Linked DNA regions of Astyanax mexicanus. The protein of the gene in region 3 interacts with the protein of the main gene of each other region in a biochemical or structural test. Links are inferred from orthologs where the notes say so. Each region holds a gene or a part of one and is shown on either strand. Other genes may lie near its edges.

The links. The genes of interacting proteins can lie anywhere in the genome.
Region 1: the proteins of hdac6 (region 3) and mapk3 form a complex in vitro, tested with the Homo sapiens proteins (2 studies listed by BioGRID, with this or other methods). The link is inferred for Astyanax mexicanus from reciprocal best matches to the Homo sapiens genes HDAC6 and MAPK3.
Region 2: the proteins of hdac6 (region 3) and tubulin polymerization-promoting protein form a complex in vitro, tested with the Homo sapiens proteins (2 studies listed by BioGRID). The link is inferred for Astyanax mexicanus from reciprocal best matches to the Homo sapiens genes HDAC6 and TPPP.

The regions. Positions count from the first base shown.
Region 1 is NC_064426.1:25,608,763-25,616,307, reverse strand, and holds the start of mapk3 (mitogen-activated protein kinase 3), read right to left. Parts: upstream 3,046-7,545; 5' UTR 2,839-3,045; coding exon 2,627-2,838; intron 1-2,626.
Region 2 is NC_064408.1:122,732,233-122,740,136, forward strand, and holds the start of tubulin polymerization-promoting protein, read right to left. Parts: upstream 3,046-7,904; 5' UTR 2,934-3,045; intron 1-2,933.
Region 3 is NC_064419.1:4,052,291-4,060,365, forward strand, and holds the start of hdac6 (histone deacetylase 6), read right to left. Parts: upstream 3,149-8,075; 5' UTR 2,770-3,148; intron 1,773-2,769; exon of another isoform or gene 1,770-1,772; 5' UTR 1,732-1,769; coding exon 1,645-1,731; intron 581-1,644; coding exon 470-580; intron 211-469; coding exon 125-210; intron 1-124.

The sequences.
Region 1 (7,545 bases), on a different chromosome or scaffold from region 3:
TATAAACATATATAGCTATACAATGTATTGTTTTTGTTAATATTATCAAATCCACTATACATAACGTTTTTTATTTTAAAAAGTTGCGTGTCTTTTCTGTTTACTACAAAGGTGACACCATGTTAAAACATACAAAAAAAAAATAAAAATAAATAATAATAATAATAATAATAATAATAACAACTTGTTAAAGCATGGGAATGAGATTCTCATGTGTGGCCATTACTTAAAGCGTGGGGACGAGATCATAATACGTGGCCACGACTTAAAAACACATGGGAATGAGATCTGAATGCATTGCCACGACTTAATAAAGCATGGGAACGAGATTCTAATGCATGGCCATGACTTATTAAAGCGTGAGAACAGATCATAATGTGTGGCCATACCTTATTTAGGCATGGGAATAAGATCCTTACTTGTGGCCACGACTCAACCAAGTGTGGGAACAAGATTTTAATGTGTGGCCATGACTTAGTGTGGGAACAAGACAAATTGAGTCCTGACCATAACAATCGTCCCCACGACTTAATTATCTGGTTCTCAAGTTTTAATTAAGCTTTGGTCACTAATAAGTACATATTTTATTCCACGTTGTCACCATAGGGGGTCTGTAGGTTTGTGATTAAAAGTGTGGATTTGTAATTTGATCATTTCATGGACCAATAGAAATGCTTAAAATTACTGGACATAAAATCTTTTTCACTGACTTCCGTTGAAAGCTAAGATTGATTTTCTTTTCTAATCCCACTGCAGCAGACTTGTAGAAAAGCACAAAACATTGTGATGAGAAGAACAGCCACCTTTTGACAACATTGTAGCAACGTTGTAAGAACGTAGCCAACGTTGTGACAATGCTGTGTGTTCGCTGGGCCACCTAACGTGAACTAACTGACTGCCAATTCAGTGTTAATTACAAAGCACAACAACTATTAATGCATTTAACTACATTTAGCAACATTCAGAGCGTTTAAAAATCCTGAAAAAAGCAGCATTTCTGCCACCTCACTCCCCCGACTAAACACACAATTAGCATTATGGTAAAACCACGCCTTTCCTACAGGCAGCACATAATGAAATGTCAAGCCGCTAAACGCTAGCTAATGGATTAGCATGCAGGTTTAGCTCACAACTAGCCAGCTAAGTTAGCTAACCAGCCAAACACTGGCTCTTTTAGAGATTGGGCGACGAAAAAAAAACAAAAATTATCAGAGCGGACATGGACATGTCTTTAGTAACATTTATATTGTGGTTTGGTTAAAAATATAAGGCCAATGCCTGTATAAACTTTAGGTTAGCTAGGTAAGCTAACAGGATGAGCATCAAAATGACAGCTTGCTTGATTCGCTTCCTTGCAAATCCTTTGCATCTTTTTTTCCTATTAGCTATCGTTAGCTAGCATGTTTTACTATATTTTAACGTTTAAATATAATGCTAATCCTTTATTTGACATTCTTAACATAAATAACTAGCTAACCCAGCTGATAGTTACACTGTTTGTATACTAAACATCTAGTTAGCTACTTAACTCCTTTTTACCCATATCTATTTTTTTTTTCTTTAGCTAGCTCGGTTATGCGTATCTATTATGTTTGTTATTTATGTTAGCTAGCTAACTAGCTACCTGTTATGTCTTAACACCAACGTCTTGACTAGCTAGTTAGCTTATACTGTTAGTTATGCAAACACTTTTTTGCTTTGCTTTTTTTTTTTACTGTATTCTATTATCTCACTTTTTGATTTACTACTATTGTCTTTATTATTCTCATTAACATTATTATGGGCGGGTTTATTATTATTATGCGTCTGTGTTTGTAACTGGCTAGTTAACTGTATTGTAATGCACAACATCTTCGCCTGTTTTTTACATAGTTAACGTTAAGCGTCATCTTGTTTAGTTAGCTAGGTTAGTTGCTGGATAATGTTAGGATAATGTTTAGTTAACGCTTGGAGAACGTCCTATATAAACAGATATAGCTAGCTATATAGCGTATGGTTAACGTTACAGTTAGCTACAATTGTCGTTTAATATAACGTTAACTATCTAGTTTAAACAGCCACCAAGGACCAACACCTACTTTTTTTATCCAACTGCTAGTGTTGGTAAATCCAGGTCCAGAAAGTTCGCGTTAGCCAGAATCCAGCCCAGGATTTTATTCCAACTGCATTGGCAGCGCTGCTGTAGCTCGACTTCAGAGGCTCTGCTAAAGCCGTTGGAAACAAATCTTGGCCTGGATTTCTTTTTCAAATCATGAACCTGGATTTACCAGCATAGCCGACTATGCGATGCTAAGCTAGCGCGTAAGACAGCTAGGATAAGTCGCTAGCTATATACTTGTAGAGGTGGGTAACCAAGGTCCAGAAAGTAAAAATCCAACCCAGGGTTTGTACCAGCTGCAGCATAGCCGCCCAGGCAGTTGGTACAAAACCCTGGGTTGGCCCTTTACTTTCTGGACCTGGGTTATCCACCCCTACAAGTATCCTGCTAGGTTAGCTACGCTGCTAAGCTAACGCTAGCGAACTGAGCCCACCCTACTGTTGCAGCAGCAGCTTCTCTCATGGTGTTTATATCGTTAAAATGTGTAACAAAAACACAGAAATGTCAGCAAACACTTCCTCCCCTTACCAAACCATCCCGTACGCCCCCTCCCCGATGTACTGCAGATCGGTGTAGCGAGGGCCCACGTCAAAATTTTGCCCTTTCACGGACTCAAGGCCGGGCTTGGATCCCGCAGCTCCAGTCGCTCCCCCGGGCGGCACCGCTCCTCCTGCCCCGGCGGCGCTCCCATTCGAGCCTGCGGCTCCGGCTGCCGCTGCGCTGCTGCCTGAGTCCGCCATCACTCCGTCCACAAATCCGCACCCTCAGATCAATACAAACGAGTTCAGGCGATAAAAGGCGTCCCCGCGCGTGTTCTGCTGCTGTTTGTTGAGATCGCGGCCGCGGTGGTTTTCCGTGGACGAGTGCGCTCGCCTGACAGTCGAAGAGGAGTCGATAAATCGAGGCCCTCCTCCTCCTCTTCGATAAAGACTGTGTGAGTGTGTGGACGCGGATCCCTCCCGTGCAGCGACGCTGGGCGTGTGCAGATCTGCGCCGCCCACGATTAGCGGGGTTATTACCAGTATATTATATTACTATTAAACCTTATTAGCAGCTATATGTGGCTTAAAAGTATTGACATAAGTATTGAATCTGCATTTTGTATATTTGAATTAAATTTACCTGACTTTTGAATAAACTTGAAATATTTAATGAGGAGATTCAAACATTTTAATTCTAACAACTTTTTGTGTTTTGAAATTGGAGGTAGTGAAAATGGCTGTTAAAACCCATAAAATAAAATAAAAAAATCCAAATTAAATTAAAATCTATTTTATTCGAAACTCAAGAATACAATATTAGAACAAAGATGTAATCCAGTAGATTGATTTGAATTGATCTATCTGAAATTTATGCATCTGATTTTTCCAAATCTGAAAATCATATTTTGAAATGTATTTTTTCTTAACGTCAAATTTCTTCACCTCAAAAAAATAAAAAAGCACGTTCAAAACAAAAATTTATGAATTGTTCCATTAAAATTTTTAAGTTTGTTAAAAAGTCAATTTAAAGTAAATTTAATTAAAAACACAAAATTACAAAACATATTCGTTCACCCATCCAAACCACTGAGTCACTGACTGACTCACTGACTGACTGACTGGTTTTAATCACTTCCATGGCCACAGGTATAGGAAAACAAATGTGTCAAAAGTATCCACATTCATTACTCAGGTAGAAGTATAGATACTAGGGTTTAAAATACTTCTGTAGAAGTTAAAGTATCAACTCAAGTAAAAATGTAAATGTTCTGGTTTCAAAACTACTTGAATTATAAAATATAAAGTATAAGTAAGGGGAAAAATGCCATTAAGGACAAAAGTTTAGGCGGCACCACAGGAGCCTATAGTGCTATTTCTCTAAAAGCCATAATGACTATAATGTTATATTAAAATGTTAATTTTGAAAAAAAAATTGGACGCTAGGACACCTGTTTGGCAGAGGAAAAGGACCAAGTGATGCTTGCCGTGCTGCTACAATTACCCAACACTGCATGTGCTACTTTAAAATTAATTGATTTAAGCAATAAAAAAAAATATATATATTTGTTTTAAAGTTATAAAGTTACAGTCCACTCCAAAAATATTGGAACAGTGAGGCCAATCTATTTATTTCTGCATCTGAATCTGAAGACAAAAGACAGCAAATTTTTGTTTGTTTTGTGTTTTGTCAGACAAAAGGTTCTATCTTCTGTCTTTTAATAATAAACACAAATGTTTTCAGTTTACAGCAGATAGCAATAGTAGGACTGGCCTAACTGTCCTAATACTTGTGGAGGAGACAGTATAGTGGGGTGTGTAGTCTCTCTGTAAGTTATAAATGTGGATATCCACATCACCATTGGCAGAGGTGGTGAAATATCAGATATCGCCATCAGCTCAGAATTCCCACATCGGTGCTTCTCTTATGAATATGTTGTGTATACAATATACTGTGACAGGCCTGTGTCACAGCTGTGTATGCACAAAAAGAATATATGTGATTTTATGGCTAAACAACAGCAGATTTGTGTTGTGTGTACACCGTGTTGTAGTGTTCATGGTGAGCCCCAGCCAGTGAGACATACACGGAATGATGGGTAAACATTACTGACAAATTCCTAGTGATAAACTCATACAGTACTTTCTTCAGTATGCAGTGCAAAGTTCCCTTTAAACTGAACACTTTACTCCATATACTTTCACATCTCACCTAAAATGTCCAAATTCACTGTATAGTCCTCTTCACTGAGAAGCGGTGGGATGATAGGAATGTATCTTGTGTCTGTGCGAATCATGTAAGCAAACATTCAGGTTTATACGTGCTCCCATCATAGTGAACCACTCTAATTCGATAAGATCATGAGATCAAAGAGATAAGCCCATGAGCAAACTGATGACATTAATCTTAAGATCTGTTTTAATAAACATACACACTCTACGCCCTACATATTATGAAATTAAATGTGTTAGTCATTGTAATGTGAGTTGATGTGTGCTTGTGTTGTCACTGATATGTAAATGTGATATGAATGAATATGAAGTTGATTACGTGACATAAATCAACAGTGATAAAAAGTTAACGAGTTAGCATGCCCTTTTACATGTAAAAAAAAATCCCTGCACTGTCAATTATATAGCCAGTGTTTTAACATAGACAGACAGATAAAGGTTTAAATAAAGTTATTCTTGAACTACAGTGACTTGACTAAAACATATCTAGATTGTGGGCTAAAATGCCCATCCATTTATATTCAGCAATAGCATATATTAATAATGTAGCAGTAGAGGGCAAGCCACTCCACTGTGAGGAAAGCATTACTGTAAGCTAGAAACAGTAAGAAATGTGATAACAGAAATTAACATTTGTGTTGTGGCAGTAATTTGATAAGCACAAACTACTAATGAGGTAATAGTTTTCCATTAGACAGCCCTCTAATGATTGAATCCAATGATTAATAACCCAATTTTCATGTTGTTATGTTTTTCCCTCATGCTGGTCAAGCTGGTAAAGCTGATTGAATAATCTAGTCTTCAAGCATGGTCCATCTGGCCCCGATAAATAACAATTATGACTAAGCTTGAACTTACTGGTTGACCAGCATTAACACATACATTGACCAGTATTACAAGCACTATCAATCTGGTAGACAGCCAGCCAGACAGACAGACAGACAGACAGACAGACAGACAGACAGACAGACAGACAGACAGATACACAGATGGATGTTAGTGTCAGAAACACATCCAGAATTCAAACAGGTTGTACCAGAAGCCAATGGAAAAGAAGCTGCCAGTGGCAACAGACAAAACTCTCTGATCTCTGACAAAGATCTCTGTTTAAATGTGTACAGTTTCGGAAAAAATAAGAGACCACTTAAAAGTGATGAGTTTCTTTGATTTTACTAAACTGTAAACCTCTGGAATACAATCAAGAGGAAGATGGATGATCAGAAGCCATCAAACCAAGCTAAACATGAAATTTTTAACTGTGAGAAACTGATTCAGAAACTGGTCTCCTATTTTTTGTATACTGTATGTGGGCACGAATGTTCACCTAGTATAAAATAGTTGAGTAATGTTTGGAAATATGAAATTTTAGATAAAACAGGCTTAATTTTGTTTTACTTCAAACTAATTGTGGGTTTACAGTGTTTTAAACAGCATGATAAGCATGACCACACTGGTAAACCAATATGACAGCAAAACCTTAAATTATTATCAATTTAATGTGCTTGTCTTATACATATCATTAATCATTATTAAAGATTTTATTTTTTAATAATACGACTTGTAACAAAATGTATTTGTGTGAAAATAGAAAAACAAAATATTAAAAAAAATGACCTGTAAACAAACTGTGAGTTATCATACTTCTGTTTCTAAAGACCTTTTTCAGCATCTTAATATGATATTGATTCAGTCATGAATAAATGTTGAAATGCTGGCTGGTTAGTTAGTTCACATCAGCATATTGTTAACTACACTGACCATCAAAGACCAGCTCAGGCCATCTATACATTAATATCTGGTCTTAAGCTTGATGTTTCAGCAGGGCTGTTACCTTGATCACAGTGACACACATCTTATTCTTTTTTAGTCCTACAGAAACTCTACAACAGCTGCTCACACCTCTGTCATATGATGATATAATGAGTGTTACGATGCTGTAGAGATTGAGTTATAACCTAGCTAAATTTGTCTCTCTTCTGTTAAGTTGGTTAGATATGATCTTCTTATCACACCAGAATATAACTAGCGGGCAGTTTGCAAATTGGTGCCTGAGTCAAATGATTAAAAGTTTAGTCTTGAAGTGTTTAAATGAGGTCACATGCTTTACACGAATATTATTATCAAATTAAAGATGATAAGAAAAGTCTTGGAAATATATTGCTGGCTAGCTGGTGTGGTTAGATGGATTGGTTATGATTAATGTTGTGCAAAACAGAAAAGGAAAATGGACTTGTTCCCTAGACCCTCAGCCAGACCAAACATCAGACACTGTGTAGAGATGTATTAACCAGTATGAATTTCATTGACAAGAGATTCAGGGGTTCAGGGTTGAGCATATATCAAAATAACAAACAAAAACAACTACAAACATTCATGATAGCAAGGAACATTAGAAATTATATACATTTTAAGGTTAATGATAGAAAAAACAACTTTAAAACAACCACAATTTGACATCAGTTGAAAAAAAGGTTGAAATTCTGACATTAAATCAACATACATTTATCCTAAAGGCTTTGAATGTTTGGGTTAAGCTCTTCTACACCTACATTGATCATTTTAGGTCAAATGTGCTTCCAACAAATAATAATTAATATTATTCATCCTTATTATTTAAATCTCACTTTCTACAGTATAAGACCAACACAGTACAGACTATAAGAATAGACACAAATATTCCATGTAAGTAGGTTAGATTAATACTGCAAAAACAGTACATGTAAAACCATACTTTTG
Region 2 (7,904 bases), on a different chromosome or scaffold from region 3:
ATAATTCTGTAAAGAAGAGTGGAACAAAATTCCTCCACAGAGATCAGAAAGACTCTTTTTTAGTTATCAGTAAAGCTTGATTGCAGTTCTTGCCGCCAAGAGTAAAGAACCAAGTTATTAGATTTAGGGGTAATATACATTTAAATTCATTACATATATCAGACAAAACAGTGTGGCAGAAATCACTTCTTCATTCAGGCAAATGTCAAGGGACACAACAGTAATTTCTATTTTCATATTCTAATTCATACTGGCTTTAAAAAGCAGCATGTTTTTCAGTGTCACAGTCTAATCGAGTCAGAGTGAAAATGAAACTGGATCTGAATCAGGATTCTTTATCAGGACACAGATCTAGTTTCGTTCTTATATGCTCTGATTAGATGTGTCTGGTTCAGTCAGTTTGCCCCAGATTCCCCCGGTCTCGGTTTTGCAGCTCAGTGGCCTGAAAAGTGGCTGTTCCCTGCCGTCAGTAATTAACCTCGGCACAGTGATTCCTCATTTACATATCCGACTGCAGACCATGCGTCCGCCAGAACGCAGCCATATGGACTGTTACAACATCCAGTCATCACCATAACGTGAGCGTTTACTGAAACATAATAAAACGCACCTATTTAATCTCAGAAAAGATTAAATCAGAGGTGTCCAAACTACGGCCCGCGGGCCATTTGCAGCCCGTTTCCTTTTTTGGAGCGGCCCGCAAGGTACTTTAGAAATAGAATGAAAGTTGGCCCGCTGTTAAGCAGGTTTTTATAATGTGAGATTCAAAGTTTGAACGCTAGGTGTCAGAAAGAGTCAAAGAGTCTAAAAGCGGAGAGAGTGCTCATTTCTAGCTCAGAAAAACGGGGCAAAGAGTCTAAAAGCGAAGAGGGTGCGCATCTCTAGTGCAGAAAAACGGGCCAAAGAGTCTAAAAGCGGAGAGGGTGCGCATTTCTAGTGCAGAAAAACGGGTCAAAGAGTCTAAAGGCGGAGAGGGTGCGCATTTCTAGCTCAGAAAAATGGGCCAAAGAGTCTAAAGGCGGAGAGGGTGCGCATTTCTAGCTCAGAAAAACGGGGCAAAGAGTCTAAAAGTGAAGAGGGTGCGCATCTCTAGTACAGAAAAACGGGCCAAAGAGTCTAAAAGCGGAGAGAGTGCGCATTTCTAGTGCAGAAAAACGGGTCAAAGAGTCTAAAAGCGAAGAGGGTGCGCATTTCTAGCGCAGAAAAACGGGCCAAAGAGTCTAAAAGCGGAGAGAGTGCGCAGTTCTAGCGCAGAAAAACGCTCCAAAGAGTCTAAAACTTGCCGTAATTAAGGAGTTTAATATTAAGAGACATCATGAAATGAAACACCAATTTGAAAAATCTTAGTTTACACAACACTGTCAAAGATTGATAAAGATAGTAAGTTAAGTAAAATGGTGTGTAAATGAAAGTAATCAGGAAAAAAGTATTATTTAAAGTGGTATATTTCATTATTTGTTTTATTACAGTCTGTGGCCCGTGACTTCAAATATATTTCTCCTTCTGGCCCCCAACAAAAAATGCTTGGACACCCCTGGATTAAATCATCCAAAGAGATTACATTGAAAAAATACTTGAGATTAAAAGATGCAATTAAAAGCTTTATACTGGTGGAATGGGCACTAATTTGTTAGCAAGTCGACCAAGCTAAGCTTTCCATTCAGAACCTGGGTTTGATGATAAACACGATTGGTTGGCTGATGTTTGGTCTTGATTGCAGGCAATTTACTATTGAAACAGCTGTCCTTCTTTCAGTCCGATGTTCGAGTGTGTTGTAGAAGCATATTTCTGGGGCCTTTAAGATTAAAAGCTGGAATCTTTGTGAAAGATGGAATTCCATAAGTTTTACATTGGTGGAATAATTAGTTACCTGTGTAGATAACTAGGCTAAACTTACCATCTAGAAGGGATTAAACCATCCAGAGAGAGCACACTGTAATACACGCACCCCTAAAATGCTTAGGATTAAAAGATGCAATTAAAAGTTTTCTACTGGTGGAATGGGCGCTAATTTGTTACCTGGGTAGATAAACTAGGCTAATCTTACCATCTAGAAGGTATTAAAAGGTTTGGTTACAGTGCATTTCCGGCTGATAACGGCACTCATATTACACCTCTCAGCCAATCACAATGCAGGGTCGGAACTAACTGTGGTATAATTGGGATTTAAAGATGCAATTAAAAGTTGTATACTGGTGGAATGGGCACTAATTTGTTAGCAAGCTAATCAAGCTAAGCTTTCCATTCAGAACCTGGATTTGTGGATAAAGACGACGGCTGGCTGATGATCGAGTGTGTCGTAAAGGAATGTGTAGCTGTCAACGATCTCTCACCAGGAGGTGCACTACCCAAAATTAGAATTAAAAAGCTTTTTTACAGGAGAGTGAAGGAAGCATTTTCATGCAATCTTGTGAAAAATACATACATTTTACCATGTATAAATTACCACATGCTAAACATTCACCATCAAATCAATGTCTTATTGATCTGATTATTGATCTGATGATCAGATTCCTGCATCCCGGCACTAAAAGCATCAGTGTCATGATAAAAATGATAACACACACTCCAGCCTCCTCCTCCTCCTCTTCCTCAGCCTCATCCCTTTCTTTGCTGAGCGTGAAGCCCATCTCCTCGCTCGCGCTGCACTGTTACATAAACGTGCCCGCGGAAAGCGAGTCCACGTGATCTCTGTGTTGTTGTTGTTCGCTCGCGCACTGTTTGGAAACCCAGCTCGAGCTCAGCTGCACAGCCAGCTCGAGCCAAACGCTACAGCACCAACGCACGCAAGCGCAAGCATGCATGCACGGACGGAACACGCACGAATGCATGCATGCACGCACGCACACACAAATACACACACGCACTCACGCACGCGCGCGTGCACACATAAAAGCAAGACAACGCAAGTAAAAATCGGGTCACGCGCTCACCTGTCCGCCGCGCACGCTGCTCCGCTCCGCCGTTACTGAAACATCCCCCGGACCGCTCGCGGGAACCGAGCCGCTGCCGATCGGAGGGAGGCTGGCGGACACGGAGACGCCTGATTGGCTAAGAGGGCGGAGGCGGGGTTCTGTGATTGGTTAGAGCAGGCGGGTTATGGAGCTCTGTGGTTGGGTGAGGCGTTGGGGAAGTGAGGCGCTGATTGGCTGAAACGCTGCATCAGGAGGGCGCTGATTGGTCAGATTGATGTAAACAGACGGAGCTGCTCGCTGATTGGCTGAGAGGCTGTCAGTCTAATCTGACTGAGGCTCGGGCTGTGACTGTTGTGTTGTTTTGTTTTGTTTTGTTTTCACAAAGTGAGGAAATATATGGGCATGTATTTATTTAAATATGAGACACAATCGAAATGTATTTTTTACATTTAATGTGTATTTTAAACAGTAGCGGTTTATTAAGGAAAATTATTTAATTTTTAACTATATATATATATATATATATATATATATATATATATATATATATATATATATATATATATATATATATATATATATACACGACCCTTTGGCATATATTTAATTTTAATATCAGATTTGTATATTACTGGGTTTATATGTATGATTTATTTTTTAAATAATACATTTTAATTACATGATTATCACTTGGTTTCATTATTATTCAGTATTTTATTATAGTTTACAAAATATATATTTTTTATTAATTACTGCTATTTGTCTGTCAGTCTTGCTCTATCTGTCTGACTGTTTATATATCTGCCTGTTCATTTATCTGTCTGTATGTCTATCCATCTGGGTGACTGTCTGTCTTTCAGTCTTTCTAACTAAATGTCTGTCTGTTTTTAGTATGTCTTTCTGTGTTTTTTGTGTTGTTTTTGTCCGTTAATTTATCTGTTTGTCTATTTATCTGACTATATCTGTTTGTTTTTGTCTGTCTGTCTGTTTGTCTATATGTCTGTCTTTCCAACTATGTGTGTTAAAGTCTGTCTGCCTTTTTGTATATCTGTCTCTCTGTCTATATGTCTGCCTGATCATATCTCTGTCTATCAATCTATCTGTTTGTTTTGTCTGTCTGTCTGTCTTTCTGACTATCTATATCTCTGTTTATAAGTCTGTCTGTCCTGTCTATCCTTTTGTTTTTGTCTGTCTATGTATTTGTCTTCCTGTTGATGTCTCTATTTGTCTGTCTATGTATTTGTCTTCCTGTTGATGTCTCTGTTTGTCTATCTATCTATCTATCTATCTATCTATCTATCTATCTATCTATCTATCTATCTATCTATCTATCTATCTATCTATCTATCTATCTATCTATCTATCTATATATCTGTCTGTCTATAATAAGGCATAACTGTGCAGTTATGTAAGGCTGGGTAAAATACCACGACATGACAAAAGTCATGGGACAGCAAAATATAACTTGATCTGTCTGCCTGTAACTTGATCTGTCTGCCTGTTCATCTATCTATCTATCTATCTATCTATCTATCTATCTATCTATCTATCTATCTATCTATCCATCCATCCATCCATCCATCCATCCATCCATCCATCCATCCATCCATCCATCCATCCATCTGTGCAGTTATGAGACTGGCTAAACTACCATGACATGACAAAAGTCATGGGAGAGCAAAAATATAACTTGATCATCATAAAGCTTACCTCAGGGCACAGCTTGGAAACACTCACACTTGTATAAGTAGTGAGGTGTTATCATGTGAGGCTGTGGCGAGGGAGGCTGAACTCCTTATATAAGACTAATATTACCATGCACAGTGGACAAACACATTTAAAAAGGTTTGTCTAGAATAGTCTGTGTGAATAGACACTAGTGTTCTTTTCCATACCTGGGATGTGCCAAAAGTCATGGGACACAGTATATATTATGCCCTATTAGTGTATATAAGGCTTTATTTCATGGGCTGTTCTTCTGTAGAGAGGAGGGGTGTTTAGTGTGGGCTGGTGGTGCAGTTAGCTCTGCCTGCAGCGGAAACAAAAGCTGAAATAAAGAAAATAAGGAAGAATATATTTAGAATAAAGTATTTTTAAAGCTTCCGTCCTGGTTTTATTTACTGTGTTCGTCGCCTGTGTTCAGGCTGTGCTGAGTTCCTGAGGTTATATAACTCAGCACACAGGACGGGCGAGACCGGGGTGGGGGGGGGGTAGACCCTTAATAACACAGGCATTATAACAGAAATAAACAGAGGGGCAGGAGAGCGAGGCTCGGGCTCTGCGCTGCTGCTTCAGCTGGAGGATGTGTGTGGTTTTGTAACAGGCTCTATTGAGGAACTGTACAGTATAACTCACAGTGTAACTCAGCAGCGCCATCGTGTGGTTACTTAATACATTACAGGGTTAAATTTGTCAGAATACATCACTTTATTGATGAATGTAAAGAACAGTAATTATCAGACTCGCTCTAGTGTTCAGGAGCAGCTGCACTGTAAACTCATACGCTGTTTAAACTCAAATGATTTAAGTCGGTTTTATATAAAATTGGATATTTCTAAACAATACTCAACTACTTTGAGTTAGCTGAACATTTGTGAGCACATATACTGTACTATTCAAACTGAGATCTTTGAGTTGAACCAACTTATAATAACTAAGTTTAGTCTGTTTTGTCATTAACAGCTTCTTTTTCATTGGCTTCTGTCACAATCTATTTGCATACTGGGTGTGTCCAACAGTTTCTGACAGACACTCACCATCAGTGTGTAGTGATCAGTGATGTCAGTAACGCGTTACTTATTTAAGTCACTGTGCGTCTCTCTCTCCACCTCATCTCCTCCACACACACACACACACACACACACCGCTCCCTTACCCATTCCCCCTCCGCTCTTCCCCAATCACACGCGTCTCGCTTTCTCCCCTCTCTCTCTCGCGCTCGGCGTGTCTTTAGTTTCCGCCCGTTTTCGTTTTTCGCCAGTTCTCGGCGCCCTATCTCTTTATTAAAGCGTTTTTTTTTTTGCGGCCGCGTCCCAATTCACTAGCCAGGGCAGCGGTCTGCCACAAATTTGATTGGCAGAGGAGAGCATTTAAAGATTTTACACCACACGTGATTGGAAGTTCACTGTGGCGCAGAGCGCACATACCGTAAAGACAAGAAAAGTTCCGGTGCTTTAAATGAACACTGTCAGAATTAAATCCTTCTCAGTAGTTGGGTCCGGTATGGGTCCGGACCCGGACCGCAGTCTGCATATATGTGATCCCTGGTCTAGACCATATACACGGTTCTGTTTTATAAAACCACTCCTTGCTGCCCTGCAGAGAACAACAGGTTCAATATTCAGTTTTACAGTGTTAAATATGTCAGGTCAAGAAAGACTTTCTTTATTTTATATATTTTTTTATAAAAACAAGTATTTATGTTTAGTAAAATCAAGAAAGACCATATTTTATTTTTTATAAAAAAAATATTTATGTTAATTTTTTTTATTTTTATAAAAAAAAAGTATTTTTTTAGGAAATAGTTCAACTTAATAGAGATAAATTGATGCTGTTAAAAATGTATTTTCCAATAAAGGGAGTATTGGCAAAACTGGTTATTAAGGTGGCGGGAGGTGGTGTCTGCAGCTGCTGAAAGTAACTAATAAAGTAACTTGTAAAGTAACTTAGTTACTTTTAAAATCAAGTTATCCATAAAGTAACTAAGTTACTTTTTAAAGGAGTAATCAGTAATCAGTAATCGGATTACTTTTTCAAAGTAACTATACCTTCACTGGTAGTGATTCCCCCTGGGCTACCTTACAAATAAATCAACTTCCCCTTTAGTTGTAATAACTTGAATTTTTAATTTATGCTAACTCAAGTTTTCATTCTCCATTACTTAACTTTTTTAAGTTACAATGTGCCAGATTCCTAAAGTTTTTAGTGAACAGGGGAAATCTGCTTTTAGCTACAGAACAGCAGCAGCAGTGAGCTGGAATTATTCACTACAGGAAACTCTAAAACTCACTAAAGCTCACTGCTGTCACTACATCATTTTAAACATTTAATATCTAACCACCTTCAGACAGCCTGTTTTGCTTAATCTTATTTATTATTAACTTTTATTTTTTATTTCTTTTAGTTCTTTATTTTCTTTTTATTTCTTTCCTTATTTTATTATTATTATTATTATTATTATTATTATTATTATTGTAATAGTTTTGTATTATTGCTTTTTAACTTATTTTGATTTTCTTTCTTTCTTTCATTTATTTTTTTAGTTTATTTATTTGTATTTTTGTTGTATTATGTAAAAGTTAGTTTTAGCTAATTTTAACTCATTTTTGTTGTATTAATCTTGAATTAATATTCTTTTGATCTTATTTTTTTATCAATATCAATTAAACCAAGATTTATTATAATAATTACTATTTATTTTATTCTAATTCTATTTTTATTTTTTATCATTTTTATATTTTATTTACTGTTATTTTAAAATAAGTAAATTTAACTATTGTCTTGTCAATCCCTGTTTCTGTAAATTTGCTTGGCTACATTGTAAATGAGGGTTGCCCCTTAATGTACCTCCGAGTCAAAATATAGGTTGATTGATTGATTGACATCACTTTTCTGCATGTTTGGACTTGCATACCATTTATTTGCCTTAATTTCATTATTTTAACCATTATTTAACGATAACACTTTGGAAATAAATGTATTAAAATCACTGTCGTGCTCAAATCTTTACTAGTGTGCTGGAAAGGCTAATATTTTGAGATAGAAAGGATCTACTCGTGATCTCAAACATACCAGCTCATCTTTGAAACAAGGTGGAGGTAGTGTCATGGATTGGGCTTGCATGACTTCTTCTGGGATGGGTTCATTAGTCTTCATTGATGTTTAATGAACTATCTATCTGTCTGTCTATCTGTCTGTCTGTCTACCTGTCTGTCTATCTACCTCTCTGCATTTTTACCTACCTACCTACCTACCTACCTACCTGTCTAT
Region 3 (8,075 bases):
CTTACAAACCTCTGTAACAAACCTCTTTAAACAACAAAAGTCTAAAAAAAAAAACCCTCACACTTACACACTTACTCACTTATTTTTATTAAGAATGAATAAGCATATACAATACTGCAGTCACCTGGTGTCCCAGAGGCAGCGATGGTGAGTAAAAGCTTCAGAGTAAACCAGGCCTGTTCCAGTTGCTTTAGGCTTACAACGCAAATCCTGCAAGCAAATAAACACAAACCCATTCACATACTGTTCAGAACTTATTTACTGTACTAAACTCACATGACATTTACTTATCATATGAACAGTTTGCATGCCGTTATATGATTATGAATAGAACAAAAAATCTCAAGCAGTGCAAAAATCTAAATGCTATATTTTCAGTGGAAAAAATAAAACAACAAAATGAGAAAAAATAAACTAAATAGGTCATATAATTAAAATTCTGCACCAAAATGCACTCTAACATACGCACAATGTTTTTGAGCTTATTGATCATCTCCTCTTCTGCTTTCCCTCGGTCCATTCTGCCCTTTCTCCTGGCGTCCTGGAGACTCTGCTTGTGGTTGGGTTTGCTGTTTTCTCTCTGAGATAAAGAAGCTTCAGGTTAATTACAAACCATCACACAAGCTCCACATAAACTTCACCAATCTCCTATTATCTAACTCAGGTCCACATTTTGCAAGTTAACCTGTTCTATTCTATACAAAGCTCAGCACTGTATCAGGGAAGGTCTCTTATATAGCTAATCTAATGGATCACTACAATTAACTGAAACAATAGAAATCCAGGCACTGAAACGTGTTTGCTTTTAGGCTTTACTAAGTGAGTTGTTCTCAATCTTGTTCCTAAAGTACCACTTATTAAGAAGTACTCAATTCACTTCAGTACAGCTGAAACTAACAATTATCTTGATAATCATTTCAACTGTTGATTATTTTTTCAATCAATGAATTATTAATTTGATAAAACTGGGGAAATAAACCAAACTGTCTTTGTATTAATGTTTGTACTAATGTTATAATTGTATAAGCATCACACAACATACCACTATTAAAAAAAATATGTGTTTTAATAAGTATTAAGCTGACGGTTTAGTAAATTCTATTATTATCAATTTTTGATAACAGTGTACGTAATGTATATATTGTTACACTCGACTGTGAATCTAAAACACTTCCATGCAACGTCAGTCAGAAAAAAACTTTAAGAAGGCTGTTACCGCCAAAGATATAAATTTACAAAGAATGCAACTAATCTTGCTTAACAACTCCAGCAGTCTCTAGTAATGCTGAGTGAGAGAAAAGAATGATCTTGTCTCTAACGTTTGCTTGACTAAAACTATTGCTTGTTTTGGAACTGCATGTAAGATGTGGCACATTGTTCCCCAATACTGAAATCGGCTACTTAAAACCATCAGTAAACACAATTTCTGGCCTCATATTGATGTCTTAATGACGACTGGATCTTTGGTCATTTCAAACTCAGAAGACTCAGTGGAAAGGAGCTCTGGGAAACTTGGTGGACGACGCATGAAGCCTTGCTCCTGTGCTGAGCTTCGGATTGACAAGTAAACCCACAGCACAACACTGACAATTTGTTTTAAACAGACATTTGGCTTTAGCTTTTAAAAAGGTGAATATTTCTTACTTTGGCAGAGTTTTGCTGAGGTTTTTTTGGAGAACGAGAAGAGCCTTTATGTGCTCTTGGTGGAGTGGGATCTGATGCAGATTCCATTATGACGATAACTCCCACGGCAAATCCCTCAGCAAATCCTGCTTTTTAAATATAAAAAAAGAAAAAACTGTAACACAAAAAAACTGTTTAATTTCAAGCGTCAGTGTTAAAAAGGCATACTATAAGGAAAGAACAAAAACTCATAAATAATCAAACAAACAAGTCAAAGCCCTTAAGTCTTATTTGGGTGGAAAAGAAGCAACTATTGTTTAGCATCTCCAGGAACTCCTTCAAGAAGCTGAGAAAACTATTCCAGGTGACTTTCCTTCATGAAGACACTGAGATTAAAATACGAAGAGCGTGCAGATCTGTCCTCAAAGATGGCTGTGAATGTGAATGTGCTAACCTACTTAGTAGAATCTAAAGCAGGAGTGTGACATATCGTATTGTATGCAATAACATCGCCAGCATTTTTTAATATTGTGGATGATTTTATACCCTGAAATATGGTGCCATATCACCCACCCCTATATTATCACATCAGGGTACTACTTTTTTGCTGTTTTTAGCAAAAGAAAAATGTTAATGTTATCATTTCTTGTTATATATCTACTATAGACAGATTATATCTGCCAGTATAATTTATTTTACTTTAATCCTGGATATATGGAGATATTTGGAGTGCATTATTAGAACCATGACATCACTGACTTCGGTTACAAATCTGATAAAATTCTTATATTTTTTTATATCTCAGTCAGTTAGGGGTGTGCCATATCATATACAATAATACAATTTAATGTTCATTTTGTTGCAGTAGTGTATTCTTCTTTGTCATATCTAAAGTAATTCTAAAACATATTCTGCTTTGTTTAACTTCTTCTTTACAGAATAATTCAGCATGTGTTTCTGTATAACTTTAATATAGTATTACAAATTAAATAATGAATGTACAATATAAAAAAATCATAAACAGAAAGAAAAAGCACACTGACTGAAAAGAGGTGTGTCCTTATTTTGACTGGTATTGTATATAGCAACTTTTAATGTGAGTACTGTGTCGTTAAACATGAATAACACCACAAAAGTATCACTTACTATGTTTTTAACTCGTCCTTCGGTTCAGATAGTCCCTCCTGTCCCTCTCTCAGCTGTCTTTCTTTCTCTCAGCTGTCTGTCTCTCTGCTTCATCAGCTGTGTTTAAACGCTGCTTGGCGCTCCGGCAGTCCGACCGTTACCGCGGCTAATGCTAACCGAGCTAAGGTTCCGCCCCCATTTCCACACAAAACTGAGGTAAATAAGCGGATAAAAACAGCGTCTACCGACAGGAGCGGCATATAAACGTGCTACAGTACCGGAGCTGAGTTACTGCTTATTAAATTATTCAGATAAATTAGCTAAAACCGCTCCGCCGCCCGCCGGAGCCACCGCAACTACCCGCGGCACTGCTACTTTCACTCACAGCAACAACAGCTCTGGAGGGCGCGAGCGGATGACGTCTACCTGCACGTGCTTCAGCAAAGCACGCGGGGTCGCTGTTACTCCAACAATAATGTGATATACAGCTCTGGAAAAAATGAAGAGACCACTTCAGTTTCTGAATCAGTTTATCTGATTTCGCTATTTATAGGTATATGTTTGAGTAAAATAAACATTGTTGTTTTATTATTTACACTACGGACAACATTTCTCGCATTTAATAATTATTTTTAGAGCATTTATTTGTAGACAATAATGAGAAATGGCTGAAATAACAAAAAAGATGCAAAGCTTTCAGATCTCAAATAATGCAAAGAAAACAAGTTCATATTCATAAAGTTTTAAGAGTTCAGAAATCCATATTTGGTAAAATAACCCTGGTTTTTAATCACAGTTTTCATGCATCTTGGCATCATGTTCTCCTCCACCAGTCTTACACACTGCTTTTGGATAACTTTATGCCACTGAATTTTAGGCGGTCTCTTTTTTCCAGAGCTGTATAATATACATTATATTATTATATTATTTACTCACCCTTTCTAATCACTAAACTCACCTATCCTAATCACTGAATTTAGGTTCCAATCTATTCCAAGTCTTTGCCATGATTTAACCCTCCTATTATTGTATGGGTCAAATTGACCCGTCTGAAGCTCTAGGAAAAATAGTTAGAAGTATTTTTTTCAGTATGAAACTTCTTCTTCTTGCCTTAATAAGTGTAATCAACATATAATATGAAAATGGATCCGCTCATATTAGCAACCACCCCCTGCAAAAAAAAAAAAAAAACTAAAACAAAATTGCAATGTTATGTTTCAGTGTTGTAAATTTAAAAAATTGTGTTGAATATGTTGGTCTTTTAAAAGTAATAGAGTAAATAAAGTGGTGAAACATTAATGGAGAACTCCGGTGTAAAATGGACTTTGGGTGTAGTAAAACATGAACATGATAAAAAGTAATAACTTTAGTTGAATAGCCCACCTCCGTTCAACCACAGCTTTCTGAGAACCAGTATTTCAATGCAATTTGGCCAAACAGGTTAGAATAGGTTTTAACGGGGCATATTTTGCCCCTGCAGATAAATCGCTTTTTACACCATTATCCAAGCTCAAAGTAGCTCCACAACTTATCGGTAGAGTCCAGAGAGCCCTGACATTTACATCCTTTACACCAGCCCTCCAGGACCAGAGCAGAAGACTCACTTATACAGCACTGAGAAGCGTTCTGTGGAAGAACCCAAATACCAGTGAACAGTGAAATTTACCAGAAGGTGCCTAAAATGGCTCAGAACCAGTCTCATGGTAGGTAAGTGACAATTTTCACTTAACAATGTAAACAGCCACAACAACAGCAAGGCATATCAGTCAACAATAGCATAGCAATTACATGATTCAGAACAGCATTTACCGTTATAAACTGAGGTCTAGCAGACAAGTAGCAGAAAGTGGGTGAGAAGTGCACGATGGGATTGGGAAGACTGCAGCCCACTGCACCCCCTCCTCCCGGCACTCTCCGTACACACACACACACACACACACGTGCATCTGTTACTTACAGCCTTAAGGAAGTGTAGCCATAATATAATATACTCTCTGTAGACTATGTTGTGTGTTAAATAAATATATTACAATAAATCATGCTAAGATCTTAGTAGAAAGTACATGCTCTCTTGCAAATAGTTTTTTTTCTTTTCTGTGGTGCCCTGACCTCCTGCCCTGACCTCTATCACACTAACCAGAAACACTGTAAAGCAGTGTTTATCAGTGTGTTCACTGCACTGTGGCCTTATCATTAGTAAAGTGTTGAATATATAAGCCTGGCCTAAGCTTATACCACTGTACTGTACCTTTTGGAACTGCTTAATCCAGACACCCATCTCAGAAATTAGGGTTTTCTTATTCAGGTCTTCTAACTGTGCTCTGATACAACCTTTCCTGTATGGGTTTTTTCTGGCTGTCCAGACTTTTATAAACTAATCTGGATACAATCTAGATATGCAATCCAGATTTGAGCTTGCAGTGTAAACACAGCCTGAACTGTAAATTAAATAAACTAATTTACTTAAATGAGTTAAGCATTAATAACAGGTATCAGTAACTAATCTTTAGAGCTCTTCTTGTGCCCCCACACTTCCCTCATTCTGGATTCAGCATCCAGAGTGTCCAGACTGTGACAGATCTGTACATATATTTGTATCACATTTGAAGCAATCTCCAAATGTGGTTTGAATCCAATTCACAAATAAAAAAATCATATTTCATGTGGATTCCGGCTGTTCAAACTATCACAAACCATTCTGGATACAATATACAGTAGATATGCCAAAAATCTGATTTGGGCTGGCAGACTGAACTGTGAACTTAATAAGCTTTAAAAAGTGTTCAACTTTTCAATTTGACTTTTAAGTTGAATTTAAGTTTGTTTAATTTCAGCTTGTCCACAGTGTGAATCTGATCAAACATATTCTTTTCTTCATTTTTTTTGAAAGATTATTTCGACTACAGGCCAATATGTGCTGCAAGGTCAAAAGGTCAAGGCGCAAAGGCCACAAAGCCAGTCCACTCTGCTACAGCTTCTTCTCTGTATGTGTGTATGTGGTTGAGTATACATGTATGTGTGATCTGAAAGAGTCTCTTGGATAGAGTGAGTGAATGACTGAGCGAGTGAGTGAGCGAGTGTGTGTGTATGTGTGTGTGTGTGTGTGTGTGTGTGTGTCTATATGACAGGCGTAGATGGCGGGGCGAGCGAGCTCTAACGGTTGTGCCCATGTGTTGGCTGGTCCTGGCCTGTGGTTGCTAATCTCCATGTGTCATTCTGCTCCATTTCCCGCTTGTTTGGCCACCCAGATAAACCCGGTTCACCCCGAACGGAGGAAGCCAGCAACAGAAACCAGAGAGAGATGTGACTTTTCTTGGCACCTTGAAAAAACGAGCCATCAGGGGCCCATGCCATCACTGCAGCATCTCTCCTTCCCTTCTACATGTTTTTTTCAGAGACTCCGGAAAACCAAAAAGCTGCCTGCGTTGCACAATGGGGTTCCAGCAGAGGCCCAAGGAGATGAGCTGTGTGGTCAACACTGAAAGAGTGAAACAGATGGAGGGGGGCAGAGAAGGAGAAATGAGGAAAAAGAGACTGTGTAGGTGTCACACAGAGAGAGAGAGAGAATTGACATGAGGCTGCAGAGGCTGCCACCTTGCCATCATGGCCATTGCGCCATTTTGGGCCATGTGGACCCATGGAGAGGCATCGTGCACACCTGGAAGAGATGACCAGAGGAGCGAACAGAGCGAATGCCCATTGAGGAGGAGCTGAAATGTTAAATTAAGCTACAAATAGACTGTGAATTGTCATATGTGCTCTATCTGTATATTTAAATCTGTATTCCCCAAAATATACAGAAGAATTTCGAATTTCTGGAATCTGGGACAACATTTCCAGAACATTTGCAGTCTTCTCTGGTGTTTTCCTAATGAAGCTTTGGACCTCATTTAACTCAACACTAAAAACACACATAGAGCATATGTTATAGACTTGATTTAGCCAAAGAAATATTTGAAAATGTGCATTTAGTCTTTGAAGATTCTGTATTCTAGGATTATCATTCAGTTAAGAAGAAGAAATGGTTTTGCATGTTTTATTGAATCCCACAGGGTTCTATTGTAGGGGCTATTAAACTTACCCTAAGTATGACTGTGGTATAGCTAGTTATGAGAGGTAAAAACTAAACTACAAAACTATGAGCTACAACATAGGGCCTAAGGGGTTGAAAATAAATATTGATATTTTGTATGTCTGAAATTTTGGGCCTTGTTCAATATAATACCACAACACACACACACACACACACACACTTGATATAGTTATGTTATGGACTGTTTTTTTCTTAAAGAAATGTAAAAAAAAGGCAATAGGTGTTTGCATATTCTGTATTCATATTTAAAGGGGGCTAATCCTATATTTTCTTTCATTTCTATCATTTCTTTTATCTTTTTTTTATCCACATTAATGCACATCTAAAAGTTCACACGTTCATCACATGTCATCTGTCTTTTTTCCATGTGTTCATGTGAACTAACTCCTTAAACCCTTTAAGGCCAACTTCTATACTTCTATATGAATTTAACCCATAGCCTACAGTATGTCTAGAAATATAACCTTCTTAGAAATGTAAATTATATTAAGCTAGCCTTCGGTTCAGATTTGGTTCTGCATAGCTGGCTAGCTAAAAAAATAACCTAGTAGCTATTAACTAAAATTAAAATAAAAAAATAGTTAAAACATAGACTTAGGTGCATTAAAATATCAAGAATTCCCAGTATTTATTCATTAGACTCCCTTATGTGCTACTATAACTGTTTATTTTAATGTAAGATGATAATGGATTATGTGAAGGTTATTTGGTTTTATTTTGTAGTGGGAGATTGAACATTTTGCACACCTTTTTGCACATCTGTCCCAAATTCTAAAAACAAAAGAAAATAAACTGGATGTACATGCAGAGTCTTGTTTGCTGATAGTATCAATTCTATTGATGCTTAACTATGTCACATACTGTGGCCTCTGGAATGATGAAGAAGCTGATCTGATGATGATCTGGTGCTGAGGTGATGGTATTGGAGAGCTCAGATTAACTGGATAATCACCTTTATTTTATTAGAACTGTATTGTACGGTAGTGCGTGTTTGTGAATCAGTGGTAGAGTCAGGCTGAGGCACAGAGAGTGCAGACAGCGGAGGCCTGTTTCTGTATGTAAATTGAATGGAATTTATTCATCCCACCCGGAAAAAAATAATGATATGCAAACCAAACAAACTGTCAGGGATATGGTCTGACTGGATGCTACAGCATATCAAAAATTCTCACACTTACAATACAACTAATGAATAAAAACAAACACTTTATAATGCTGTTCCACAGTTAATAAG